Linked DNA regions of Ovis aries. The protein of the gene in region 2 interacts with the protein of the main gene of each other region in a pairwise test. Links are inferred from orthologs where the notes say so. Each region holds a gene or a part of one and is shown on either strand. Other genes may lie near its edges.

The links.
Region 1: the proteins of LDOC1 (region 2) and SMARCD1 interact in binary tests that used the Homo sapiens proteins (3 or more experiments, as listed by UniProt). The two-hybrid records come from large-scale screens. The link is inferred for Ovis aries from reciprocal best matches to the Homo sapiens genes LDOC1 and SMARCD1.
Region 3: the proteins of LDOC1 (region 2) and FAM107A interact in a two-hybrid assay, tested with the Homo sapiens proteins (2 studies listed by BioGRID and IntAct). The two-hybrid records come from large-scale screens. The link is inferred for Ovis aries from reciprocal best matches to the Homo sapiens genes LDOC1 and FAM107A.
Region 4: the proteins of LDOC1 (region 2) and LENG1 interact in binary tests that used the Homo sapiens proteins (3 or more experiments, as listed by UniProt). The two-hybrid records come from large-scale screens. The link is inferred for Ovis aries from reciprocal best matches to the Homo sapiens genes LDOC1 and LENG1.
Region 5: the proteins of LDOC1 (region 2) and CTNNBL1 interact in binary tests that used the Homo sapiens proteins (3 or more experiments, as listed by UniProt). The two-hybrid records come from large-scale screens. The link is inferred for Ovis aries from reciprocal best matches to the Homo sapiens genes LDOC1 and CTNNBL1.
Region 6: the proteins of LDOC1 (region 2) and HDAC4 interact in binary tests that used the Homo sapiens proteins (3 or more experiments, as listed by UniProt). The two-hybrid records come from large-scale screens. The link is inferred for Ovis aries from reciprocal best matches to the Homo sapiens genes LDOC1 and HDAC4.
Region 7: the proteins of LDOC1 (region 2) and FXR2 interact in binary tests that used the Homo sapiens proteins (3 or more experiments, as listed by UniProt). The two-hybrid records come from large-scale screens. The link is inferred for Ovis aries from reciprocal best matches to the Homo sapiens genes LDOC1 and FXR2.

What each region holds. Positions count from the first base shown.
Region 1 is NC_056056.1:136,225,193-136,229,370, reverse strand, and holds the start of SMARCD1 (SWI/SNF-related matrix-associated actin-dependent regulator of chromatin subfamily D member 1), read left to right. Parts: upstream 1-1,378; 5' UTR 1,379-1,407; coding exon 1,408-1,584; intron 1,585-2,261; coding exon 2,262-2,449; intron 2,450-2,702; coding exon of another isoform or gene 2,703-2,718; coding exon 2,719-2,761; intron 2,762-2,856; coding exon 2,857-2,979; intron 2,980-3,445; coding exon 3,446-3,568; intron 3,569-4,178. UniProt on the Homo sapiens protein: Involved in transcriptional activation and repression of select genes by chromatin remodeling (alteration of DNA-nucleosome topology).
Region 2 is NC_056080.1:94,166,926-94,170,089, forward strand, and holds LDOC1 (protein LDOC1), read right to left. Parts: upstream 1,881-3,164; 5' UTR 1,799-1,880; coding exon 1,358-1,798; 3' UTR 501-1,357; downstream 1-500. UniProt on the Homo sapiens protein: May have an important role in the development and/or progression of some cancers.
Region 3 is NC_056072.1:42,922,450-42,925,718, forward strand, and holds part of FAM107A (actin-associated protein FAM107A), read left to right. Parts: exon of another isoform or gene 1-530; coding exon of another isoform or gene 531-535; coding exon 536-705; exon of another isoform or gene 706-2,858; coding exon 2,859-3,243; 3' UTR 3,244-3,269. UniProt on the Homo sapiens protein: Stress-inducible actin-binding protein that plays a role in synaptic and cognitive functions by modulating actin filamentous (F-actin) dynamics. Mediates polymerization of globular actin to F-actin. Also binds to, stabilizes and bundles F-actin.
Region 4 is NC_056067.1:63,980,625-63,984,887, forward strand, and holds the start of LENG1 (leukocyte receptor cluster member 1), read left to right. Parts: upstream 1-1,463; 5' UTR 1,464-1,489; coding exon 1,490-1,621; intron 1,622-2,979; coding exon 2,980-3,159; intron 3,160-3,776; coding exon 3,777-4,039; intron 4,040-4,263. Other genes in the region: TMC4 (transmembrane channel-like protein 4), read left to right, coding at 6-136, 234-389, 628-706, 803-871.
Region 5 is NC_056066.1:66,596,191-66,600,348, forward strand, and holds the start of CTNNBL1 (beta-catenin-like protein 1), read left to right. Parts: upstream 1-1,358; 5' UTR 1,359-1,446; coding exon 1,447-1,476; intron 1,477-4,158. UniProt on the Homo sapiens protein: Component of the PRP19-CDC5L complex that forms an integral part of the spliceosome and is required for activating pre-mRNA splicing.
Region 6 is NC_056054.1:2,119,454-2,123,650, reverse strand, and holds the start of HDAC4 (histone deacetylase 4), read right to left. Parts: upstream 2,801-4,197; 5' UTR 2,638-2,800; intron 1-2,637. UniProt on the Homo sapiens protein: Responsible for the deacetylation of lysine residues on the N-terminal part of the core histones (H2A, H2B, H3 and H4).
Region 7 is NC_056064.1:27,152,552-27,156,626, reverse strand, and holds the start of FXR2 (RNA-binding protein FXR2), read left to right. Parts: upstream 1-1,275; 5' UTR 1,276-1,643; coding exon 1,644-1,724; intron 1,725-4,075. UniProt on the Homo sapiens protein: mRNA-binding protein that acts as a regulator of mRNAs translation and/or stability, and which is required for adult hippocampal neurogenesis. Specifically binds to AU-rich elements (AREs) in the 3'-UTR of target mRNAs.

The DNA.
Region 1 (4,178 bases), on a different chromosome or scaffold from region 2:
AGTCAGTGGCCTTTGCCTCCTTCTGGATGCCCAGGCCTCTTTGCTCACCTAATACCCAAGCCCATCCCTTATACTTCTGGTGAGGTACCGTTTGATAGTGGAACGAAAGAGACAGGCCTAGAGGGGACGTTGAAAGCTCTGCTATTCTGTTCCTCCTTTCCTCCCTTACTGAGAAACCAGCGAGATAGAGGACCTGCCATGCCCCTTCCATCAGGCACTCCTCCCAGGCCAGAGCCCTGCCCCTTCCCAGGCCTTCTCTGTCCAGCTGCCTCTCAGCCTCCAACCCCAGAACAAGACCTGTGGCAGGTCATCTGTGCATTGGCCTGGAGCTGGAGAGTGAGGCCATAGGATCTTTGGCAACTCTTGGTTCCCAGGAGTTCCTTAGAGATCAAACCTCTCCAGAGGGAAGCAGGAGCAAGGCCAAAGGGTGTGCAGTGGATGGGGAACAGCAGGCAGGGCTATGGGTGACGCATGCCTCTGGTCTAATAAACTGGGTTTTAACCATCTCCTCTTCAGTGTCGTTCTTCTCTTATTTGAATAGTATTTAGGCCTTCCCACTAAGTGTCTAGAGCTGAGCTTGGCTTGGGGCCACACAATCAGGGGAGGAGTAAGGAGGCGGGAGCAGGGGTGCTCTGGTCCTCCTGGGATGGGACAGGCTGACATCACACCAGGAATGGTTTGAACCACTGGGCAGGGAAAGAGGAAGAGGTCAAAGGCAACAAAGATCCCCAAAAGAAGTCCTAGCAGAAAGGATTCTTTGGCGAGGAGGAAGGGTCACACTTCGAAATAAACTTAAAATCTGGTAGCAGTTTAGGTTAAAAGTCAGGGGGAAAGCTGGGCTGAAGTTCCTGTAGTTATTGAGGCACTTTATGGAATGAGCCCCGGACTATGAACCGGAAGATCTGCATTATAGGTTTCGACTTTACTACTAACTTGGTTGACTTCACCAAGTCATTTACTGAGTTCACCTCGCCTGCTTGTAAAATGGAATAAACAGTGCGTTCTCTTCAGTGTGCTGGGCTTAGAGCAGGAAGAGAAGGAAAGGAAAAACGCACTGCGCCAAGATGAAGCATTTACTCCATCACCCTCGCGCAGGGATGGTGCAGTAGTCCCCCTTTCCAGGTCCTTGTCTCCCTCCGTCGGCCTGGGGGCGCCCTTTCGCATGGCCTCTCTGTCCCAGAGCTCTTCTCGATGGTTTTCCCTCCCGGATCATGAAAGCTGGAGGGAGTGGTCACACGCCTTTTCCGCTAGTTGCTCCCCTCTAGCCCACAGTCTCGCTGCCCTGAGCCTCCCGTGCCGGCGGGCCGGCCGGGCGGACAGGAGGGCGCACGGGGGGCGCGCGGGGGGGGGGCGGGGGGAGTTCCGGTTCCGGTTCTTTGTGCAGCTGCAGCAGCGGCTCCGGGAAAGATGGCGGCCCGGGCGGGTTTCCAGTCTGTGGCTCCGAGCGGCGGCGCCGGCGCCTCAGGAGGGGCGGGTGCGGCGGCTGCCCTGGGCCCGGGCGGGACACCGGGGCCTCCGGTGCGAATGGGCCCGGCGCCGGGTCAAGGGCTATACCGCTCCCCGATGCCTGGAGCGGCCTATCCGGTGAGTGGGGCAGGAGGAGGGGCGCGGGCCGGGGGCGGGGCCGAGCGGGGGCCTGGGAGTGACAGGGGTGGGGGGAGGAGGAGGAGGGACGCGCCTGGGAGGGATTCGGGCGCCGAGTTGGGGTCGGGGGAGACGCTGCGGGGAAGGGAAGGGAGGCTGTTAGCATCCCCACCTGCTCCTAGAGGCATTGTTTTCTTGGGGAGTCAGGATGTAAAACCAGGGTGGACGAAGTGAGGCCAGACGTGGGCCTGTGAGACCTTGAGTGCAAATGGACTAGGCAGGTCCAGTGCCCAGGAACACAGAAGGTGTAGCTGGCAAATTGAGGTCAGCTTCTGAGGAGATAGTGCCTGACAGTACTCTCTGAGTAAATATGGGACTAGAAGAGATGTCCAGTGTGCCAGATACAAAATAGACCGGGGGAGGGGGGCGATTTGAGTATAGTCTGGCTGTCTTTGCTTTGGGCCTATATTCTCCCGTGGAGTCAGAGCTGGAGCAGTGGAAGTTCCAATTACTTGGATATCAGAGAGGTAGAGGGCTCTCCTCCCACCCCACCATTGTGCTCCACCCCACCTTCCTGCCTTGTTTCATTCAAAGAACTCAGGCCTCCCCCACTTTCCCTTTCTTGGTGGGATTTGCAGGGGAAGCCATGACATCTCTAGGTCCTCTCCCCTCTGTAGAGACCAGGTATGCTACCAGGCAGCCGAATGACACCTCAGGGACCTTCCATGGGACCCCCTGGCTATGGGGGGAACCCTTCAGTCCGACCTGGCCTGGCCCAGTCAGGGATGGACCAGTCCCGCAAGAGACCTGCGCCTCAGCAGATCCAGCAGGTCCAGCAGCAGGCGGTCCAAAATCGGAACCACAAGTAAGATGATCCCAGGGTGGAGGGAGGGAGGGAGGAGGCCTGAGAGGACGCAGGTGCTGGGGTGCCTGAGCAGAGAAGCGCAGTGCCGTGTCAGCAGGCGGTACTCATTCTTGAAATAATTGCTTCGTGTTTGTTAGGGGCGGGGGTGTCTTTGATTTGAGACAAGCTTTGCAGTTTCTTCACTTTACTATAAATGGAGGTGCTGACAGCCTGTCTTCATGTTCTGGCTAGTTCCATCCCAACCTGATAACAGTATTTATTCCAAACAGTGCAAAAAAAAAGAAGATGGCTGACAAAATTCTACCTCAAAGGGTGAGTCCAGGGTATAGACCTTCTTGAGGTTGTGGTGAGTTGGAGAGTAGAGATGGTCAGCCTTAGATCCCAATGATATCTTTCTGTTCCCTAAGATTCGTGAACTGGTACCAGAATCCCAGGCCTATATGGATCTCTTGGCTTTTGAAAGGAAACTGGACCAGACTATCATGAGGAAACGGCTAGATATCCAGGAGGCCTTGAAACGTCCCATCAAGGTAACACAAGAGAGTACTAGGCAGAGAGCCAAAGGAGAGGACTCGGGAACCTTCAGCAGGCTTAGGATGAGAAATCAAAGGCATAGCACAGCTTTCCTTGGCATTTAAATTACATCTCTTCTGCCTACAAACTGAGAAGCGTAAGAACAGAACAGCAAAGGGGAAGGGGCTTTTGATAGTTCTTGCACCAGAAATATACCCTGTTGGTGTTTTTGCCGTAACTGCTCTGCCACCTTGGGAACCTGGCATCTTGCATGACTGTCTACTTGGCATCCCGGTGAATGCATTTGCACTGAGGCCCGTGGCCTGTGCTCCTCTTCTCATTGGAATCTGCATCCAGCCACCCCAGGGACTGGGTAGACAGTAAGCCAGTCTGTTAGGAGTCATTGTCGGGTTTGGGGGGACCCTTGTCTTCAACATCAAACCACTGAGGCCCCACTGTCAATCCTGTTTCTGCCTTCCTCAGCAAAAACGGAAGCTGCGAATTTTCATTTCTAACACTTTCAATCCGGCTAAGTCAGATGCTGAGGATGGGGAAGGGACGGTGGCTTCCTGGGAACTTCGGGTAGAAGGACGGCTCCTGGAGGATGTGAGTTCAAGGTCCACCGTGGTCGGTGTCCGGGGTGGGAGCTTCTGGGAACAAGCAGTATTGTCTGGTTGGCAGGAAGCCTGACTGGTGCTTACAGCTCCTGTTGGGAACAGCAGGGAGAGGGTCACTGTGTTCTCTGCACTAACAGACAATGGTTCTTTGTGTCTGGCTCCCACAGCTTGGCCCTCTCTGTGGTATCACATCGAGAACCTTATTGTGCTGGGATTTGATTTGTTGTTTACCTCTCTCCTGATGCTGCTAGCCATTGGATTTGGCAGTATCTGCAGATTTTTCAGTTATTTTTTTTCTTGTAAACCAAGTGAATTTGCACTTAACATTTGGGCCATGCTCTCTTCCCTGAGTCCTTGAGGTCCTTGATTTCTGCTGTGGCCTCTCCATCTTCCCAGCTCCTATTGGAAACAGCTCGCAGTTTATGTGGGATTGATTTCTGTGCCTGGCTCTTTGTTTTTTCATGGGGAACATCAGCTGCCAGGTGATAGCTTCCAACTTCCCACCCCAGAAGCTCCTTGGAGACGCTCACCTGCCATTCCCTTATACTCTCTGGCTCTCTATTTTTAGCTGTTCACAGGCAGGCCAGTGTGAACGCAGT
Region 2 (3,164 bases):
GGGTTTTAAAACAATGTGCTACACTATGTATTGAAGCCTAAAATCAATAGCACCCCACAGGCACTAAGAGTTAACAGGCAGAACATCTCTGACCATGTTGAGGAAGAACCCCAAAGTTCATGAAAATAGAAATATTGTGTGTCCTGACTTGTACTTGTTGTTCCAGTCTAATTATTAATAGTGTCCCCTTGAAGCTCTCTCAAAATTGTCCCAGTTTGGGATGGTGTGCCACCTGCCTGCTCAGCCACCCCTTACCCATGCCACCTCAGAAGCACCAGAGAACACTCCCTTCACCAGGGCTATAAGAAAGGCATCAGTGGGGGTAGTACCAGTTTCCCCATAAAGCCCTGTAGTAACTGTCCTCTGGAGTTTAGTCGTGACAGTGGGGAGTACAGAGATTGAAAGTTGAATGAGATTCCCTGATGCCAGTGGGAATAATGAGTCAGGGTGAAAGTGGCAAAGGCCAATGATAGCCCTTAACCATGAAAAGACACTTGCTGTTGTTGTTTTTTTTTTTTTTTTTTGGTAGTGCTTGAAATTTATTGAAAAGAATGCAAATGCTTTTTCCAGGTAGCATTGAGGAGCTGGGCTGAGTACTTGCTTTTGTTTGTATTGTTCGGTTTTTAGTATTTTTGTCCAAATGCACACCTCGATGGGACTGCTGCAATTTTGAAATGAAGATGACGGGTGTGCAAAACTGATGCATAGGAGAAATGTCAACAATTGGGTTGCCAGGCACAATGGGCCCCTGCAGCAATCTGGTGGGCCAGGAGGAAGACCTGGAGTTAGTAGGGAACAATTAATCAAGTTGAAAGATTAGCCCCTGGGGAGGGGGGTGGAGTTGTTGGTGAGCAGTCCAAATCAGTGTCCCAGGAGGTGTAGCCCACAAAGGCATCTTCTAGATTGTTCCTGATCTCCAAAGGCCGGGTCTATCGCTGGAATCTGGTGGAGGGTGCTTGGGTGGCAGCGCAGGTCGCTGGGCAGAGGTGCAGGCCTGACAGTCAGCAAGGCAGAGTATAGGCTGACCGGTTTGTAAGAGGGGCTTGCCCTAGAGCTGGGGCTCAGAACACAGTTCTAACGAGCAGTGAGGGTCCTGGGGCTGGCCAGAGTGGGCAGCAGAGTGCACTTCAGAGACGCCCCAGCCTCAGCAGCAGGTGACTAGAGAGCACTATGCCTGGAACAAAGACAAGCACTACGGCAGAGAGTGGAGGGTGAGGAAGACAACCAGAGGGGAGGGAAAGGCCAGGGGATCACAGCGTTAGGGGAGCGCGGTGGCTCCGGGCGGGGCGAGGCGGGGAGGCAGCGGGGGTGGCGGAGGGCAGTGCCCTTCCCCCTCTAGGCCCGAGGGTCTCCGGGCCTAATACTCATCTTCTTCATCTTCGTCTTCGTCTTCTTCGTCGTCATCCCAGCCAAAACACTGTTTCATCTCATCGAGGAAGGCCCGGTAATCGCCCAGGATGGGGCTATCCATCTCAATGTAGGGCACCACCCACTCCTCGGCTTCCCCGGTGAGCAGGCTGATCAGGAATGCCACCTTCATGGCGTCGTTGCAGAATCGGTTCTCGTTGACGAGCATGTAAGACGCCGTCTGCACGATAAACTCGGGGAGCCGGGAGCTCTCGCCGTCAAACGTTTCGGGGAAGGGCACAGGGCAGCTCGGCGGACGTACCTGGCGCAGCAGGGTGGCCCTCTCGCACACCAGCAGCCGAAGCTGTTCCATGAGCTGGCTGTTCTCGATGCTAAGGGCGCGGTGCCGCATCAGAAGCGCGTGCAGCAGCAGGACCAGCTCATCCACCATGGCGAACAGCTTGGAAAGGCAGGGCAGGGCGCAGCTCGATTCGGCTAGGCTAAGGTGCTCTCGGAGGCCTCGCAGGAAGTGCGTGTCAGAGGAGACGCGCGGTGGCTAGGAGCGAGGGGCGGTGCGCGCAGGGGTCCCGGCGGCGGCGCAAGCTCCGCCCACACAGCCGAGCTGACGGCCCCGCTCAGGCACCGCCCGGCTGGAGGGGGCGGGGCCGGGGAAGGCAAGGGGCGGGGCCGGGGAAGGCAAGGGGCGGGGCCGGGGAAGGCAAGGGGCGGGGCCGGGGTGGCCCGGACTAGGGCTCGGCGTCCGCGCTCGCAGGTCCGGGGGCCGCTGGATAAAGGCGAAGACCCAACCTTGGATGTGGGTCGGGCCGTAGCCTGGACCGTGCAAGCGCAAAAGACCCATCTCTCAGAGAGGTTCAACCTGCTCAGGTTTAAAGGACTCACCACCCTTCAGCCAAGCCGACTCATACATCTCGGTGTTCCTTGGAGGGCCAGTAGCCCCTGGGTTCCCTCTGAGTGGTTTTAACACATTTCTTGGCTTATGAAATCTCCCTCACCCAAAGAACCGTTAGCAGTGCTGGCTGCACGCCAGCGTCACACCCTGTAAGAGTTATGAAAGACCCTCAGGGGTCCTGTCTTTCATGACAAAGCGATATTTAAAAGGGATTTTTCTTTGGTTGGAAAATAGTATTGTGTACTTCTATCCCTTTGTTTAAAATTATTTTTGTAAATAGCAAAGTGTAAAAAGTTCTGCAAAATTTAGCATCCAATCACCATTTGCAGGAGTCCTGCCTATCTTTGACTCTATTTCTGTCCTAATGTTAGTGTCCCTTGACTACTGGGTATTTATCCCCTGCTTAACAATAAACACTTGTGTTTTAAAAATGGCTTTGCTTTTCTACTTTGAATGCGATTATTCAAATAGTTGACAAATGAGTTGGGGAGACAGCCTCTGGGCCACCACATTCTGTTGGAACACCTTTTAAAATATATTCCCAGTCGAATCACTTCTTGTTACTTCTACCAATACCACCCTGGTCCCAGCCCTCCTTTCTCACACAGGCTGTTGAAACTAACCACTTAACTTCCATTCTTCTCTTCCTATAGTGTATGTATTCCCCAGAGTAAGGACAGGACTCCTTTAGAACAAAAGTTAGATCACTTCCCCTCCCTGCTGTAAACCCTCCAATAGTTTTCCCTTATCAGTCAAAAGAAAAACCAAAGTCTTGGTAATGGCCTACCAGGCCCTACCTCATCTGCGCCTCCTCTCAGTTCCTGCTGTGCTCTAACCACATTGTTCTCTCTGCTGATTCTTGCACACAAGTAGCTCTGGCCCCAGGACCTTTGTACTTTCTATTTTT
Region 3 (3,269 bases), on a different chromosome or scaffold from region 2:
TGGACACATCTGTGAGGAAACTACAGACAGGAAAATAAGGGGTGATGTTTTCTTTTATCACTGCATTTATCCAAATTACCTTTAACAAGTACACATTGCTCTTTTTATGTATCTTTTCTTTCTCTGATACAAATTCCCTGAGAAACAGAAACTCAAACAATTCCTCTTATAGGAGGGAAAAAAATTTTTTTTCCTTAAAGGTCAAAAACATTTGCACGTGTCAACCCATGTACTTTGTGATCCAGTACCATTTTTCAGCCATGATCCCCAATCCTTACACCCTGGGCACAGGCTATCTATTTTATTGTCACAAATGAGGAAACCTAGGCTCAGAAAGTCAGGCAGCCTCCCCAGGGCTGCATGGTGGTGAAGATCCATCAAACACCAAAAGCCTTGCCCTTCAACTGTGCTGCGAGAATGGTTGAGGCTGTGGGCCCATCTGACCCGCTCCCCCGTCCCTGCTGTGTGAATGGCTGAGGCTGTGGGCCCATCTGACCAGCTCCCCCGCCCCTGCTGTGTTGTTTCTACAGCCTCCATGTACTCTGAGATCCAGAGGGAGCGGGCCGACATCGGAGGCCTGATGGCCCAGCCAGAACACAGAGAATGGAACCCAGAGCTCATCAAGCCCAAGAAGCTGCTGAACCCCGTGAAGGCCTCCCGGAACCACCAGGAGATGCACCGCGAGCTGCTCATGAACCACAGGAGGTGGGAAAGGAGCCCCCCCACCCTGTGAAAGGCCAGCCTGGTAGTCACCCTGGGGCTCTGACAGACAGAGCAGGTCTGAGGGTGCCCCATGTGGTCAGCGGAGAAGGCAATGGCACCCCACTCCAGTACTCTTGCCTGGAAAATCCCATGGATGGTGGAGCCTGGTAGGCTGCAGTCCATGGGGTTGCGAAGAGTCGGACACGACTGAGCGACTTCACTTTCACGCACTGGAGAAGGAAATGGCAACCCACTCCAGTGTTCTTGCCTGGAGAATCCCAGGGACGGGGGAGCCTGGTGGGCTGCCGTCTGTGGGGTCACACAGAGTCGGACAGGACTGAAGCGACTTAGCAGCAGCAGCAGCAGCATGTGGTCAGCAGCACACACTGTGGAGGTCCAGCAGCCCTGTGACCCCGCCTAGTCAGCCACGGGTGCCTGCTCTCCATGTGTCGGCTGCGTGGATGCCCTGTGCCCAGACCGAGGGGCACACAGGGGAATGGGACCCAGTTCCTGCCCTCACAGAGGAGACCGATGTTTGACCAGATGGTGGGACGGGTGCTTTGAGGGAGGCACGAATGGCCTGCGACCCCAGCGGAGCCACCAGCCTGGGCTCCAAGGACGAAGTGATGCCTCAGCTAGGGCTAGAAGAGTGGGTGGGAGTCAGCCAGGGTCGGAGGTGGGTACTAGCCGCGAGCAGCTGATGGATGAGAATGTGAGAGTGCAGAGGAACCTGGAGGAGCTCAGAGAGAGTGAAGAATGTGGGGCTGTGAAGGGTCCCAGTGCTGGGTTTCACCGTACAGGAGGGACGAGTGGAGCAGGCAGGCCAGGAGCATGCAGTGGGCAAGGCTGGCTGAAGGTGTCGGGCCTGGGACTACTGGGTTACTGAGGGACTGTGGTGAAGTGCAGGCTTCCCAGCTGGCACAGGGGTAAAGAACCTGCCTGCCAATGCAGGAGACACAAGAGAGGCAGGTTTGATCCCTGGGTGAGGAAGATCCCCTGCAGGAAGAAAGGGCAACCCACTCCAGTATTCTTATCTGGAAAAATCCCATGGACGGAGAAGCCTGGTGGGCTACAGTCCATGGGGTTGCAAAAATAGTCACACACGACTGAGGCAACTGAGCATGCATGGGGAAGGGAGAGGGAGGTTGAGCGTCCCTCCCTTCCCAAGAAGGCCTCTATTCAGCAGCACCCGGACGCAGGTTGCAAAGCCTCCGAAGCTCCCTCTAGTGGTGGCTTTTGGTATTGACGCCGGCTGTGATTGTCCTTATTTTCAACTAACATACCGTCCAGCAGATCTCATTTTTCATCCATGTTGTCTTCCTGCCCGTTGGTTACTAGTCTCTCTGTATCCACCGAGACTGGTTAGGGCCCCTCAACAGAACCCAAAAACTCAAGGCCCTTGTATAAAGTGGCATTGCACAAGCCCGCCCTCGGTATCCACAAATTCAATCTGTGGAAACGGAGGGTTGACTGTGTATTGGAAGTACTTCGTCAAGATCTCTTTTAGAGTTATCCCTTTTAAAATCACCAGTTTGAAAAACAGAAGCCTAAAGACAAATCAGGGTGAATGTTTGAGTATAAATAACAAAAATATGTACGTTATCTCTCACAAATCCATAAAGAAAAAATGAACAGAAGGTACAGTTAATTCACAGAACAAATGAAAGTAGCTGGCACCCATCTCCAAGCTGCTCCACCAGACCCTTCTTGCCTACCAGATTCTGCAATACAAGAAGACTGGACAGTAAGGAGAAATAGATGCTCTTAAATACTGTCGACAAAAGTTATAAATTGGATAACCTTTTCTAAGGAACAGATGGGAACATATAACCAAAAATCTTTGAAGATTTTGCCTGACCCAGCAATTCTACTTCTAGAAACTTACCCTGAGAAAATAACCAGTAATATCCTACAGCCTGCTCTCTGCACTCAGACAGGCCCGGGTACAGATCCGCCTTCAGTCTGTTCACACCTGTGACGTGGACTGGAGTCTCAAGTCTAGGGGTCCCCCTTCCCTGTACCCTGGAACAGAAATGCTTGCCCATCCCCGGGCTACCAGACTGCACGAGGCACTGGCTGACGTCAGTGCAGGCTGCAGCCCTGGGTGCAGGGCGGTGGGCGTCTCCTAACGCGCACCTCCCCCCCCACACACACAGGGGCCTGGGTGTGGACAGCAAGCCTGAGCTGCAGCGTGTCCTGGAACACCGCCGGCGGAACCAGCTCATCAAGAAGAAGAAGGAGGAGCTGGAGGCCAAGCGGCTGCAGTGCCCCTTTGAGCAGGAGCTGTTGAGACGGCAGCAGAGGCTGAACCAGGTGGGTGGGGGCCCCAGCCCCAGCTTCCTCCAAGACTACCTGCTGGCCCAGGGAGGCGCTCAGCCTGCAGTCACAGCTGATGAGGAGGCGGAGCCAGATGAGGACTGGACCCAGGGTCCACCCCTGGCCTGCGTTCTCACTCGGCCACTCCCTTCGCTGTGTGACTTGGGTTCAGAGAGGGAACGCACTGGTCCAGTTTTCTCATTGGCCCCATCTATTGCATGCTGATTCTGATTATCTTCTCACAGCTGCCC
Region 4 (4,263 bases), on a different chromosome or scaffold from region 2:
GCCAGATCACCCTCTTCTCCACCTGCTCCCCGGCCTCCCGCACCTTTCGAGCCTCCACTGTGAATTTCTTTTTCCCCTTGGTCCTTCTCCTGGGTCTGGCCATCTCCGCGGTTCCTGTGCTTTATAGCATCTTCCTGTAAGTGTGGGAGGTACCGGCCTCTCCCACCCTCCACCCTCCTGTCCAGGGTTCTGACTTTGGGCCATCCTTGACCTCTGCCTATCTCTGATTCCAGGATCCCACCTTCCAAGCTGTGTGGTCCATTCCGGGGTCAGTCGTCCATCTGGGTGGCGATCCCCGAGTCTATCTGCAAACTGCCTCAGATGGCCCAGAATTTTCTCTTCTTCCTGGGTACCCAGGCTTTTGCTGTGCCCCTTCTGCTGATCTCCAGGTGAGGGCGCTAGACTCCTGGGTCTGATTCTGAATGTCTGACCTGGGGTCCCGCTGCCTGCTTCCGAGAGAGAAGGGGGTTGGGGCCCAAACTCTTGGGTCTTCGGGAAGGAGGGGGCTGGGATGCTTCGACTCCTTGAGTCTGAAGGAGGAGGTCCAGACCCCTGCTTTCTAAAAAGCCCTACGTGGAAGATATTCTGAGAACGTTTGCGGAGTGGCTTCCACTTTATCTCCGCTAGCATCCTGATGGCGTATACAGTGGCCCTGGCTAACTCATATGGACGCCTCATCTCTGAACTCAAACGCCAGATACAGACGGTGAGCCAGGCCTGGCCCCTGGGAAGGGGTCCTGGAGAGTATGAAAAAGAACACAGGGGAGAGATGTGTCTCACCTCCCCTCTACCTTTCCCTCAGGAGGCGCAGAATAAAGTCTTCCTGGCACAGCGTGCTGTGGCGCTGAGCTCGGCCGACAGAACTCTTTGACCTCTCCAGCCTGGCTTGGGGTGACGTCCCACTTCCAGCCCCAGACCTGCTCCCAGATCCTTTTTGAGCTTCGTCAACATCATTTGGAAAATGAGTGAACTGGGGAAGACCCCGTGCTTTTCCAGCCCTGGGATTCCCTGCTGAGGCCCCGACCCTCCAGTGAACCTCTTTCTAGTACTGTATCAATGAATCTAGTACTGTGTCAATAAACACAGCGGAGGCCGCTGAGTGCTTTTTAATCTCCGGTCCAGAAGCTGGGGCAAGCCTTCACAGGACATAAACCAATCAAATGTGTGGCTCTGAGAGCGTGGCGGACTCTTCCGCGAGAGAGACCGCGCCAGCCAATCAGCGGCTGCGTTCAGGAGCCTCGGGGCGGGGACACGTGATTGAATCAGAGTCTTGGGGAGCGGCGGTCGCTAGGCGACGCCACGCGCGATTCTCGGAGACGGGGGACGTGGGCCCCGCAGCCAGTCACCTCTCGCTACAGCCCTGGGGGGTCGTGTCAGGCAGCGCAGAGCCAATCCGTGGCCGAGGAAGGAGCAACGGGGCGGGGCCTGCCTCTCGCCAATTGGAAGTGCCAGGAGGTGGGCCTGTCGGTCCGCGGACGGCTGAGGCGCCATGAATATTTTACCCAAGAAGAGCTGGCACGTCCGGAACAAGGACAATGTCGCCCGCGTGCGGCGTGACGAGGCCCGAGCCCGTGAGGAGGAGAAAGAGCGTGAGCGGAGGGCGCTGCTCGCTCAGCAGGAGGTGAGCCCCCGGCCCGGGCGGACGCGGCGCCGCGGCTCAGCGCGCAGGCGCCGGGGAGCGGGGCGGCGCCGGGGAGCGGGGCGGCGCCGGGGAGCGGGGCGGCGCCGGGGAGCGGGGCGGCGCCGGGGAGCGGGGCGGCGCCGGGGAGCGGGGCGGCGCCGGGGAGCGGGCCACCCTGGCGGACCTGGGGCCCGGCTCCCGGGCGGGCTGGGCCTGCGGGCCGTGCCGACGTTCCCCTCGACCTCTCCTTGGTCCTCCTGGAGGGCCGGAGTAGGGGGTCGTGAGTAATCGGAGCCCTGGGCAGTTCACGGAAGCTCGGGCCGCTTGTTACTTTAGCTGTACAAACACCCTGTGCAGTGAGCTCTTGCTGTCCCCTGGCGGCTCAGACAGTAAAGAGTCTGCCTACAGTGCGGGAGACCCGGGTTCGACCCCAGGGTCGGGAAGATCCCCTGGAGAAGGAAATGGCGATCCGCTCCAGTATTCTTGCCTGGAGAATCCCCTGGATGAAGGAGCCTGGTGGGCTACATACCATGGGGTCTCAAGGAGTCGGAAACGACTGAGCGACTTCAGTTTCGCTTTCCCCTGTTCATCCCGTGCAAAGCGCTTGATTTGCAGTCTCTCGAGCCCTGTTCGTTCTTAGCGGGGCGGTTATCTCCCTTCGGCGGAGAAGTGAGATGGCTTCAGAGGAGCCACAGCGAAGCGACAGTGTCTCAAGCCAGTCCCGCTGCGCCAGGCGTGCCTTTTGCCTGCACCGCTGCGCACAAACGTTAGAGAGTCTCTCTAACTCCTCACCTGTTTGGTTTACACCTAGCTTCCAGTCCTTTGACTAATCCGATCGTCAGCACTGGCTGGGAGGTAGTCAGGGTTTTTAAAGCTCACCTTTATCGGACTTCCCTAGTGGCCCAGTGGCGTCCAATGCAGGGGCCCCAGATTCAGTCCTTGATCAGAGAACTAGATCGCACATGCTATAAAACTAGATCTGATGCAGCCAAAGCAATATTTTTTAAGTTCACGGTTATCAATAGAAATTGGAAATCAAATGGGCATAATGACTCAGCGCCCTTCCTGGAATTCAGATCACCTGTCCTAATAGATGTTTTGGCTGCCTTTATAGCTGTTTTCATTGTGTCAGAAATGAAACCCCCTCGTTTACTGTTTGGAAGATGGCTTACAAACCATGCCTTGCCTCACTGCTCCACCCTCTCCCCAGGAATAGTCAGGTGCCTCTTCTGGGTTCCCAGTGCCCCTGCTCCCTTCCTTCGAGCCCTTACCACTGCAGTGGTCAGCACTAGGCTCAAGAGTCCCTTGGGCTACAGCTAGGTTCTGAATGTTCTGCCTGTAACTTTTTTTCCCTCCAGGCCCGCACAGAATTCCTACGGAAGAAAGCCAGGCATCAGAACTCACTTCCTGCACTGGAAGCAGAAACGGGAGCCCCATGCAGTTCTGGCCCTGTGGATCTGTTTCGGGAGCTGCTGGAAGAAGGCAAGGGGGCGACGAGAGGCAATAAAGAGTACGAGGAAGAGAAGCGACAGGAGAAAGTAAGGTGGCCTTACCCTCTTCCTCGGGTCACGGGTGGAGCCAGGGGTGGGGGTGTACCTTGCCCTCAGGTGTGATTACGGGAATATTTAGGGAGATGGTGGGGATTAAACAAGCTAGAGAACTCAGAATAGTATTAGAACATAGCATGTTAAGAGGTGTTGATTATTGCCGGGTGCTAGGTAGACCCCCTCAGGTCTCTAACCTGATGTGCAAACCTTGAAGATGTTGGGAAGTGTTAAGCTTCTTAAAATGTAAATCAGACGCTGTCCCTCACTTGCCCTCGGGGTTTCCTATCAGACTGCCTCCCCGCCCCTCCCCCCTCAGTCACTGCTTTACCTGGCTGGCTTCACAGTTTCTTTTCTATCTCCTCAAAGATGCTGCCTTTGAACCCTAACATAAGCAGTCCCCTCCTTCCTATGCTGTTTGTTGCTGAAGCTGTCCTGGTGCCCCAGAGCAGGGGCACCCCGGGGACTCATCTCTGAAGTCCCAGCAGCTGGCAGAGTCGGCTCCTGACGGGCTCTGCTGGCTGAATGTCTGGTTCTGCCTCTGCGGGAACCCTGGCTGCCTGAGAGGGAACATGCTTCCTGTTCTCACTTTCACATCTTGTCTCCCTCAGGAGAGGCAAGAGAAAGCCCTGGGCATCCTAACATACCTGGGACAGAGTGCAGCGGAAGCCCAGACTCAGCCCCCATGGTACCAGCTGCCCCCTAGGCCGGGCGGCCCCGCCTCTGGTCCTGGGCCCGACGAGAGGATCAAGAGCCGCCTGGACCCGCTGCGGGAGATGCAGAAGCACTTGGGGAAGAAGAGAAAGCACAGTGGAGACAGTGGTGGTCACAGCACAAAGGAAAAGAAGGCGCCTGAGAAACAGCGACCCAAAGAGTAAGGAGCCTCTTTGGCCAAGTGGGCACCACGGGCGCTCTGGCTGAGGCAGGGGCTCTGGGGTCTGCAAGGTCAGGCCCATTTTCGTAACACCGTTGAACGTTTTCAGCCTTGTTCCGGGGTCTGCAGAGACTACATGGTATTTATTACAAGGCCACTGCCCTGGTGGCTGGTGGGCCATCTGCTTGCTCTTGTTCACGTTGTATACATTAGATTCTGGACAG
Region 5 (4,158 bases), on a different chromosome or scaffold from region 2:
TACAATTGGAGACAGTGGAGGTAAGATGAGGAGGATGGTTATCAATATTGTGATGGTCAGAACGTTTGTATCTCCCCAAAACCCATAATTTGACATTTTAACTCCAAGATGATGGTATTAGGAAGTAAGGCTTTGACGAACTGATTAGATCAAAAGAGTGGAGCCCTCCTGATTAGTTTTGTAAAAGAGGTGGGAAAAAAAACCCTCACCTGCCTCTGCCATGTGAAGATACAGTAAGAAGGGACTTCTGTGAATCATGAAGCAGGCCCTCACCAGACGAAGAAACTGCTAGTGCCTTGATCTAGGACTTCTCAGCCCCCGGAGTTGTGGGAAATAAATTTCTGTTGTTTATAAGCCAGTCAGTGTATTTTTTTTTTCATAGCAGCTTGAAAGGACTAAAACAGACAGCATGAACATGAAAAACACCAGACTAATCGCCAAGGGAACTAGTAGAGAGGCTTAGCTCTCTTTGAAGACAGAAACATTTAAATCCCAGGAGCTCAGATGCACTCTTTGAATAGTTCTTTTCCAATGATGGGCAACTTTCACCTACAGAAAACCTATTTACACGACTTGAGTAGAAACAGGATTATCCAGTTCCACTGGCCTTTGCATAGATGAATAAACAGAAGCCCAGAGAAGGAAATGTCATCACCAACTGTTTCACAGGTACTAACAATTGTCTTGGACACTACACTTTCTGAGCCAGTGCTGTCCAACACAAATGGAGTGGAAGCTACAAAGAGAGCCACACGAGTACTTTACATTTTCTACTAATCACATTTTAAAAAGTAAATAGAAATGGTGAAGTAAACAGCAAAGTGAAATTAAATTTTATATTTTATTTGACCCTAAGTATAACTTCAACATGTAATCAACACAAGTCTTAGAAATCAGATGGGTATTTTCTTTACACTTAAAGCATATTTTAATTCAGACTAGCCATAGTTCAAGCCCTCAGTAAACACAGGTGGTTAGTAGGTATAGTACTGGAGAGCGCAGTTCAATGCCTCAGTTTTCTATTGGAACTGAGAATAAAACGAGGAATAAAACTGCCTAGGTCACTGAATGGATTAAGAGAGGACAAGGGAAACACCGTGCGTCCTGCCCTGCACTCCGCCCAGCACGTAGGGGGCGCGCAATAAATCTTGGTTTCTTTACTCTTTTCCTTTAACGCACCGCCCCCTTCAAGTCTCCGCCCCTTTCCCCGCCCCCTTCAGGTTCCGGGCGGAAGTAGTGCTGTTAAAAGCAGGGCGCTTTGCAGTATCGCTGCATTTTACTGCAGTGTGGCCGGCTTGCGTGTCGCGCGCACTTTTGCTTCATTGGCTCTGCGGCCCCTGCTCCAGGCGCTTTACGGCAGTGTGGCTGGAGCTGCCGCTTTGGGGGCCGCGGTTTGGTCGTGAGTGGAGGGAATCCGAGTAGCCAGTGTTGACTGAGACTGCAACCATGGACGTTGGGGAACTTCTGAGCTACCAGGTATGACGGTCGAGGAGGGCTGGGGGGACCGTCCTCTCACCCAGGCAGGAATCGCAGGACCAGAGTTCCTTCATATCACTCTCTCCCATCTCTTCCCTGGGCCTGGGTCCTCTCATTTCTCTTGTCAACCAGGTCCCTTCCTCGAATTTCTCCTGGGTTCTTTCAATTAATTACGATCCTCAAGGCCCGGACCTCTTTTTAACTTCGTCTGGGCCTCTTCTCACCCAACCCTGAGACTTGACTCCCTTTCACTTTTCTGAAGGCCCCAGACTATCTTCACAACCATTCCCCTTTAATTCTCTGCTTCAAGTCACTGAGTTGAGGATCGTGGTGGGAGAGCACTTTCTTGCATTTGAGTATCAGCTTCTCTACTGATCGGCTCTGTGGCTTTGGGACAAGTTCTATTGTCTTCTTGGAGCCTCAACTTCTGTATGTATAAAACAGAGACAGTAATAGCTACCTATTAGGCTAGTTTGAGGACTGTGTTAATCAATGAATGTGAAAGCTAATTTTAAAGTGCAGAAAGTTGGACACATGTTAATTGCAGTTGTTGGCAGATGTTTGACTTTCTCACATGTGCTGGATCCCTAGGACTCTTGTCCCATTTGCTCAGAATACATGTGGGGAAACTGACCCAGAGCGTAAAAAAGACTTTTCCAAAGTCACTCAGTAAGAGCTTTGATTAGAGATGAGGTCTTTCGGCTCCCAGCTCAACCATTTTACCTTTCTTTGGTCTTCTTAAATGTCCAGTATGGTAGCCACTAGCCACATACAGCTGTTGAACACTTGAAATGGGACTAGTCTGAATTGTGTTAAATTACACTTTCTGCCATAAGGGTGGTGTCATCTGCATATCTGAGGTTATTGATATTTCTCCTGGCAATCTTGATTCCAGCTTGTGCTTCTTCCAGCCCAGCGTTTCTCATGATGTACTCTGCATAGAAGTTAAATAAGCAGGGTGACAATATACAGCCTTGATGTACTCCTTTTCCTATTTGGAACCAGTCTGTTGTTCCATGTCCAGTTCTAACTTTTGCTTCCTGACCTGCATATAGGTTTCTGAAGAGGCAGGTCAGGTGGTCTGTATTCCCATCTCTTTCAGAATTTTCCACAGTTTATTGTGCTGGGAGAAATATCAATAACCTCAGACATGCAGATGATAACCACCCTTATGGCAGAAAGTGAAGAGGAACTAAAAAGCCTCTTGATGAAAGTGAAAGAGGAGAGTGGAAAAGTTGGCTTAAAGCTCAACATTCAGAAAACTAAGATCATGGCATCTGGTCCCATCACTTCATGGCAAATAGATGGGGAAACAGTGTCAGACTTTATTTTTGGGGGGGCTCCAAAATCACTGCAGATGGTGACTGCAGCCATGAAATTAAAAGACGCTTACTCCTTGGAAGGAAAGTTATGACTAACATTGATAGCATATTAAAAAGCAGAGACATTACTTTGCCAACAAAGGTCTGTCTAGTCAAGTCTATGGTTTTTCCAGTGGTCATGTATGGATGTGAGAGTTGGACTGTGAAGAAAGCTGAGTGCTGAAAAATTGATGCTTTTGAACTGTGGTGTTGGAGAAGACTCTTGAGAGTCCCTTGGACTGCAAGGAGATCCGACCAGTCCATTCTAAAGGAGATCAGTCCTGGTTGTTCATTGGAAGGACTGATGTTGAAGCTGAAACTCCAGTACTTTGGCCACCTGATGTGAAGAGTTGACTCATTTGAAAAGACCCTGATGCTGGGAAAGATTGAAGGCAGGAGGAGAAGGGGATGACAGAGGATGAGATGGTTGGGTGGCATCACCAACTCGATGGACATGAGTTTGGGTAAACTCCAGGAGTTGGTGATGAACAGGGAGGCCTGGCATGCAGCAATTCATGGGGTCACAAAGAGTCGGACATGACTGAGTGACTGAACTGAACTGAACTGAACTGACTGACGCTTAGAATAATCAGTATAAAAAAGTAAAATTTTAATATTGATTACATGATCATATTAATTACTTTGATTATTGATCATACTGATTAAATAATCATATATGGGTAATGGGCAAAATAAAATATATTCAAAATAAAATTTACCTATTTCTGTTGACTTTAAAATGTTGCTACTGGCCTTTTAGTGTGGCTACTAAAATTACATATATAGCTGGCTTCTCATTTTCCTTGGACAGCTCTGCAGTAGAGAATAGGGGACTAAGAGCCATGTGTCTGGAGCTCTGTTGCTTGGCCTCTCTTGTTTTGCTGCTCCCTGACTGCTGTGACCTGGAACAAAATATTTAACTTCTCTCTGCCTTGGTTTCCTTATCTTGTAAGTGAGGGCAATGAAAGTACCTATCATATAAGGCTGTTGTGAAATGTGAAGTGTTTGGAGCAACGCTTGTCAAAGAATAAACGTTAAGAATGTTAGCAATTATATTCATGCAATTCCCTCAGCCAATATATTGTACCTAGAATTGACCTTGGAGACTCTGGACATCATGGGAAAGAACTTGTAAGCAATGGGAAGTATGTAGCCAAGTGCCAAGTGATTTCCTTTTTAAGACAGTTATTTGGTGTGAAAGAAGAACGGAGATAGGTGGGTTGAATGAGTGGTTATATCTCTGGTGGCTCAGACGGTAAAGAATCTGCCTGCAATGCCGGAGAACTGGGTTCAATCCCTGGGTCGGGAAGATCCTCTAGAG
Region 6 (4,197 bases), on a different chromosome or scaffold from region 2:
GGGCCGCAACCGCTGGGGCAGAACTTGCCCTCCGGCTAGAACAGCGGGGACAAGGGCTGAGCCTCGCAGGCCACAGAGCGAGGCGGCTTCCGCGGAGGCGGGGCTAACGCGGATCGGCAGCTGATTCCCAGCAGGGATTTCGGGTCCAGGGGCCGTCATCCCGCCACCCCAGCAGAGCCGTAGCCCGCTCTCTGCATCTCCCCTACTCCCTCCATCAGGTACCAATCTATAGCTCAGGCAGCTTCTGAGCAATGAAAGCCCAGCCGTTTTCAATAGAGAACGGTAGGGACGGATTCTCCAGAAGTGATGAAATGTTTCTTCTGCTCTGGCAATTAAGACGGCACAAAGTCGCCTTTCCTCCGGTGCCACCCCCAACATCAAAGGATGAGAATTCAAAGCCATTCATGCTGCATTGAAACCTCACAATGCAGCTGGAAAATGGAAGTCGATTACTGGACATAAATATGCAGTAGTTAAAAGCAAAGAGTTAGAACGAAATTCAACTGCAGCAACCCAAAGACGTGCGGAAACTTCCAGAACTGGAGTCCTCCTGGTAAACACGAGGGGCATCCTTAGAAAGCACGCTTCTGGCCACTGAGCCAAGCTCGGTGCTCTGGACCCACGTGGCCCAGGGGCCATGTTGTTCTGCCCATCTTGCTACAGTAACGGCCCCCAAGGCCTCCGAGAACATGGCATTTAGAGATTTTTCTTTCTCATGGCTGTGAAGCTGCTGACCACAGAACATTCTCTCTTGGCTCAGGGCTGCTGAGGCCACATCTGTCCTTGGTCCCCAGGCCCCGCGGGCCTCCGCCCCCGCACACACCCCCAGCCCAGGGCTCTCCCAGGGGCGCTCCTGCCGCCAGTTCCGATCACAGGAGAGAGAAGTAACCCTAAAGAGGGCAGTGTTACATCTGCCTGCCGCATAAACCGTGCTTCTTTTCTGATTGATTACTGCTCTCTTTAGGAAGGTATTTGATCTTTAAAATAAAAGCCCAGAACACAGAAAGCTATACAAGTCTAACAATGTGTCAGGGTGTGTGTTTTTAAGGCAGGAAAATACTTCCCTCCCACACAAATGTGAGTTCTGGGGGAGATGCCACGGAGCCCAGGGAACAGAATATCTGGGAAAGCTTGCTGGGTCTTAAAAATAGATGATTGAACACAGATTTGAGAATGCTCAGGAGCTACCTGAAAAAGAAAATTAAATCTCACATATTTTTGATATCCAAACTCCATTCTGATGAAACTTCTAAGAGGGTGGCATTTTGCATTTCCAATTATAATAGAGTAATTGTGTTGCCATAGTGACCGCAAAATTCTGCAATAACTTTTGTTGCTTTGTAACTGCTGTAGTGTATATTTGTGTACAAGCAGCTGAGTTTTCTTAATTCAATCCCTCTCCCTCCCCCTGCCTGTCCCCCTCCGCCAGTCACCACCACCACCTTCCCTGGCTCAACCCAAAGAAAATTATCAAAAGCAACTAAAACTCCAGGCCACAGACGATCACGGTACAAAAGAAAAAGTGAAACCAGGCCAAGGTGCAGACCCACCAGTATTACCCCAGTCTTGCTAGGCTGGCGCTGGGCGAGGGCTGTTTACATGTTTACTCCCAGGCCTCCCCGGCTTAGGCGGTTTGTGGGAATAAACAGAAAAGCCTGAGCGGAGGGAAGAGGGGAAGGAAAGTAACTCCACAGGCCCCTTCCCTCCCTCGCCCAGGGCAGGCAGAGAGCTGCTGCAAGCAATTAGGTAGGTCTCTACAGTAATGCAATTAGGATTTAGTTAAGAAAGTCATTAGTTTTAAAATAACTTGAGCTTAATTTCTGCAACACTTTATTTGAAAATTGTGTCACAGCAGGTCAATTTACAACATGCAATAAAGAAAACACGCGTATCAGCTGCTGCAAGTTATTACAAATTTCTGATGTGCATTAAATGAGTACACTGGGTTCCACCCCCGGCCTTTCCGACTGATACGCACGATCTCCTGCTATAACAGTGTCAAATAATTCAACGCTCAATGTAAATACGAGATAATTTGCTTCGGATGCCACGGTGGGAGCTTGCGATGCCGCCAAGCGCGGCTCCCGTCACCTGGGCAGGACGGGGCCCAGGGCTCGGCCTGCCCGCACCCCTCGGGTCGCGGGCGCCCCACCCCTGCCGTTCCGGTCCGGGGCACACACACCCGGCGACGGCGCACCCCCGCCCGCCCGCCCGCCCGCCAGCCCCGGGAGGGACGTTTTTCTGCAAACTCACAGCCTCGACAAAGTTACATAAACGGCGCCCGCCGGGGCTCGGGAGCCCCCCGGCCCACCTGCCGAGGGCTCGGCCTGGACGGGACCGGGCGCCCCGGGGAGGCCCGCCGGCCGTCCTGCGCCCCCGCCCCGCGGGCGGCCCCCGCCGGGCCGGGGGGCTGCAGCGGGGAAGGTCCGGGACGGGCTCCGGCTCCGCTCCGGACGCCCGCGGGGCCGCGCGGCCTGGGCGCGCGGGGCCGGGCCGGGGCCAGGCCGGCGGGCGGGCGGACCCCCGGCGTCCACCTGCCGGGCCGGGCGGCGGGGGCGTGGAGGCGGGCGGGCGGGCGGCCTGCGGGCGGGCGGGGGGCGGACAATGGCCCGCGGGCCGGGCCGGGGCAGCGCTTACCGCGGCGGCGGCGGCGGCGGGCGCTCCGAGCCGCATCTTCTCAGCCTGCGCCGCCACCACCACCACCACCACCGCCGGCGGCGGGCGGGCGGGCGGGAGGGAGCTCGGGCGGCGGCGACGGCGGGGACGCGGCCGCGGCGCGCCGGGCCCAGGCGGCTGAGGCGGCGGCGCGGGCGGGCGGGCGGGCGCGCGGGCTCGGGCGCGGCGGCGGCGGCGGCGGGGACGGTGCTCCGCAAGCGGCGGCCCCACAACCTCCCCTCCTCATTCACAAAAAATTGACCCACGTTGAACCATGATGCCGCTCCCCCCCTCCGGCACCGAGGCGAGCGCTGATAGGCCAGCCCCGACGCCTGTCAGCGGCCCCGGCCCCGCCCTCCCGCCGTCGGCCCTGCGGCTATTGGCTGCACCAGCCTTGCATCACCTCCCCTCGCGGGTCCCTCCCTCCCGCCCGGTTTCTAATGAAGAGCTCGTCAATTACGGCTCGGCCCCGCCCTCTGCCCGCCCTCCCCGGGCGCCCGGCGGCCCTCCCATTGGCCCACTGGGGGGGTCGCGGGAACAGCCCCGCTTGGTCCCGCCCATCGGCCCCGCGGCCTCCAACTCGCCAGGCCCAACGCCCTCCGAACGCCAGGGATGCTCCACCCCCGCCCGCCTCCTGGTCCCCATTGGCTGCCGAAGCTGCCAATCCCAGGGGCGGGGCTATCAGAGGACGCTATAGGCGCCAGCTGGTGGACGCCTGATGGTTGGGAAAGTGTTGGGAGTCCAGGCGCGTGGTGACTGTCAACACGGGCCGTGGCCCCGGAAAGCCTCGTTCGCCGCCCCCAGAGAGCTGCGCCGCGGGGCCCAGCAGTGAGGGCCGGACGGGCCGCTCTCCTGGCGAGGGGAGGCTGAGGCGCGGGCTGAAGAGGGGAGCCGGTGAGGCCCGGCCGCGGCCGCCATCTTGGGTACGGGCAGCGATCACGTGGTGCGGCCTGCTCCCGGCGACGCAGGGGCGGTGCGAAGGCCGAGTGCGCAGGCGCGGAGGGCCCCGCCCTGCCCCGCGGCGGGAACGCGGCCTTGGGGGCGCGGGGCCGGGCCGGCCGGCCTTCCCGGCGGGCGCGGGGCGAGCGCAGTGCGCCTGCGCCGGCGGAGGGCCAGGGGATGCGCGAGCGCTCTCCGAGTCTGGTCCGAGTTCCCCGGTCCCGGGCGGAGGCCGCAGAGACGGCTTCCCACCCACTTTCCGGTCGTTCCGGGCTCGCATGCACCTTGGGCGGGGGTCCGGGCCAATCCGTTCACCCCGAGTGCTCAGAGTCCGGGCTGTGCCTTGCGGAGGCCTTCAGAGACTCCCCTTGGGTCGCACCCCAGGGGGGCGTGATGGGGTCTGCGGCGAGGTCGGAGCTGTGAAGCCCACTGGGCAGCCCATCCCGAATGTCACACCTGCGTGGGGACAGCCCTGCCGGCGTAGGGAGGTGCTCCTGCGAAGGATGGAGCCTCCAGAGAAGAACACCTAGAACAGTGACGTTCAAACTGTAGCCCTTTCGGAACTGTTTTATTAAAAAAAAAAAAAAAAAAAAAAACCGCTTG
Region 7 (4,075 bases), on a different chromosome or scaffold from region 2:
AGTGAAGGCCATTCTCCTTAACCTGATTTATAAGTGCTTCACAGTTTAGCTTCCCTACTTCAAGCCAAATGCTATTTGAACTAGTTGTGGTTCCCCAAAGGACATGTTTTGTTTTTTTCTGCTCCTCTGCACTGTTTATTCCTTGTTCTCTCAAAAATAGTTTTACTGCATTTTTCCTCTAGCAAACGCCTACTTATCCCTCAAATCTCAATTTGCATTACCTCACCTGTAGTGGTCTTTCCCTATCATGCTGAAGGGCAACTGACCATTGTTTGTGTCTTTGGGATTCCCTCTATCCTAGTCCTCATCTTTAACACATCTTCAGATGAACTCTAATCACTTTATTTACTTAAATGTGATTGTCTGCGCCATTTCCAATATATCATAAAATCCTTGTTTTGGGTAACTGGAACACAGTGAGGGCTAAATAAATATTGGCTAAATGATTAGCTGCACACACATGATCCTAATTTCTTGGCTATTTTATTCACTTCTACTTAAATTTCTTACTTAGTTTATGAATCCTAAGCTTCCCCTCAACTATCCTTTCTCTAACAATTTTTCCCATTTTGAAATCTCTCAGCATTTAGATAATAATCTTGTGCCAAATTGCATTTGCCTTTCGGTAGTGTCTTGAAATCTTTCTTTAACCTTTCATCATATGCAGGATCAGAATCTTCTCAAGGCAAGAAGGTGACTCTTAATTTAAATCTTAACGCGCAGAAACAGAAACACTCAAAAGAGTCCATACCGGCATGTGGACTGTAAGGCCCAGAGCACGCGCACTAGGCCCATTTTTGCTTTTCGACTCCTCCTTCCCGCGCCCTCCCCCCGCCTCCCGCCCCGGAGCGTGCGCACCAAAAAGACAAAGGTGGAGAAAGTGACCAAGCAATCATTCAGGCGCATGCCCGTCCCTAACTTCTCCAAGCCTGGTGGAGCGCACAGCCGTGAAGTGGGTGTGGCCTGACCAAGGAGCATCAGAAGCCCAATCCGATTGAGTGAGCTCGGCCCCTCCCTCCCCATGATTGGTTAGCTCTCTGTGTTGTGGGGCGGGGAAAGGCAGAGACTGGGCGGTGGAATGGTGGGGTGGCGAAGAAAGAGAGTCAGTTTGGTTCTGCGCAAGCGTAAATCAGCGACCAGGAGGGGGCGTGAGAGAGGCAAGAGGAGTGTGGAAGCCCTGCTGCGCTGGCCAGCGAGAGCTGGGTCGCCAGCCTTGACGCGTGCGCCGTGGCCCTCGGGGCCCGCGCGCGGCGGGCGGGTGCCCGGTGCGTCTGCGCAGTAGGTGGCGGCGGCGGCAGAGGGAGGAGGAGGCCGTGTAGAGGCAGCGGCAGCAGTGGGTCCCGGGACTGAGGCTGCAGCGGGGGCGGCGGCGGGCGGAAGCTGAGGTGACGAAGGCAGCGGCGGCGGCGGCCGTTTTCCTCACGGTGGCGGAGACCAAGGCGGCGGCGGCGGACGGGGAGCGGCCCGGCCCCGGCCCCCTGCTCGTTGGCTGTGGCAGGGCCGCCGTGGGGCCGGCCCGGCTCCCGCCCCCCGCGGCTCCCCCTCCAGCTCCTCCTCCAGGGAGACGCCGGGGACCTGGCCCGGCCCGTACTCAGAGCGCTGCTGCAGCCGCCGCCGGGGGAGTCGGAGGCGGTGGCGGCGCCATGGGCGGCCTGGCTTCGGGGGGGGATGTGGAGCCGGGACTGCCCGTCGAGGTGCGCGGCTCCAACGGGGCCTTCTACAAGGTGAGGCGGCGCGCCGGCCAGGGACGCGGTCTTCAGCCCCCTCCCTCCAGCCAGAACGGGGAAGAGTGGGGTGGGATCGAGGTTCTGGAGCTAGCCCTGACCCTTAGAACCTTGGACCCACGATCCCACCCGCGGCCCTCCTTGGGGGAGACTTCTGGAAGTTAACCCCTTATTTTTGGCCCCTCTGTTACACCTGCTTTTACCCGCATCTCTGGGAATGAACATCAGGGCATTATTGTGCTTGGATCAGCGCCCCCGCAGCCCCCAGGAGAGACCCCATTTACCCTAGCGTCTTATTGACTTTTCCTGTCTCCTAATAGAAGGCATACCTTGGATCTTAATCACCTCTTCCCCACAGTCCAAGCACATGGAGAATTCTCTTTATTCTCCCCTATTACCCCCTTGGGAAAGCCGTCCCATATTAGATCCTTTCATCTTCCTCGGAGAGGCCTCTGCCTACTGGCTCTGAAAGACTCACTCCACTTTCATCTTATATTTCTGTTCCCACACCAAGGAGAAACGGTCAGAAGCTGTTTATGACATTTAGTATCTTTGACCTCAGGAACTCTGGGCTGTATCAGTCTAGTTGCCTCCTAGCCATAAGGTGGCATCTTTTCACAAGTCTCTCTCACCCCACCCCTTTATTTCCAAGGCTAGTTGGTCTGCTCTTCTACTGGAGGATGGTTTTGTATTTGTCATCTCACGTTGACCTCATACATTCAAATCATTCATATAGTTTCTTCATTTTGAGGAGTGTGAGCTTCATACTCCTACTCTCTATCTAAAATGAGATCTCATGAGGATTACTTCTGTTTATCTTTTTCTTAAGGATTTCCACTTCTAGAAGACTTTTGGTCAACCTGCCCAATTTGGAAACCCAATAGTCTATTTATTTATTTTTTTTAAAGGAGAAGAGGACTGTCTTTACATTTTTAATATTCATTTATTTGGCTGTGCAGCATTCAGGATCTTAGTTTCTGAACCAGGAATCAAACCCATGCCCCCTGCATTGGGAATGCAGAGTCTTACCCACTGGACTGCCAGGGAAGTCCCCTGAATCTATTTTTTAGGACACTTTTTTCCCCATTCATTTATATTAAGCTAGAGGGAGACCCCTCTTGCCTCTCAGGAATTTTTCTTTTGCCACTGTTGTTATGTTGTTAGTTTGAACCGCTTTGTGCTTTATGCCTGGGATTGTCTCAGAGACTTTCCTGCTTCCTGACTTGTTCTCTCATTTTGCCCTCATCCATTATTTGTGAGGACAAGAGCCCCCTTTCCTCCACTTCCCCTCAAGCCTTTCCTCCCGTAGTGGACCTCTCCACCTTGGTATCTTGGAAATGACTTTCCTTCCCTGTGAAGTCGTATCTTGCTATAACTGGAAAGGGTCTCATATTAGCCCTTGGAGTAGGTTTCTGCCCCAGCTTCAATTGATAAGTTCAGTGGTCATCTTTGACCCACTCTAAATGCCTATTCATTCCTGCCTGACTTCCCCTCACCAGATTTCTTTATATTCTTCATTGCCTATGCGTAACCTCATCTGTCTTAATTTCTCAATTTAAGTCTGTGGCTTTTTATCCTAGTATTTCTGCATAATCCCCCAAAACTACCTATTCCATGACCCAGCTAACATGGAAGAAGGAAGCTCCCAATTTACCCCTTCTTTCATTCTTTTTCTACATACTTTCCTAACTCATGGGACTTTTTTCTCTAGCATGCCTCCATACCATTTGTTTTCTTTGGCAAAGTCTCTTAATTCCTTTCTGATTCTGATAGAGTACATTTGTCTCTTATATCCTTTTCCCTCAGGCTTGCTTACCTTTGTTGAAATACCCTTTCTCATAAGATTTTAACCTAATTTCCCACAATATCCTGTCCTTCATCAGGGTCCTTCCCAGCCCCAAGAAAGTGCTTCTTAAATTGAGTCTGAGATCAAGATATAATGTTTGCTTTTGTTCCAGGAAGCATGGGAAAGATCAGTATCCAGTTTGAATTAACCGTGTGAGACTGCTGGGAAGGGGCATGTTTCCCTTTCCACATATAAGTGTCAAGTAGAAAGTCTGTCTCTGAATCTTTCTCTTTTCTCCTGTGGGCTATATGGCAGTGATAGACTTGATTCAGTGAATCAAAGATAGGATGCTTTGAATCAGAGAATAGAATTTGGAGTTCAACTAAAAGCCAGGTAATATGGAGTTTGTATTTTGGCCACTTTAGCATTTTCTGCTCCTTGTCTCATTTGAACAACAAAACATCCTTAAATTCAGTAATCTTTCTTAACTTTCAGTGCCATATACTTACTGAATCTGACCTTGCTGCTGATTTAATATTCATGACTCAGCAGACTTCAGTGTGGT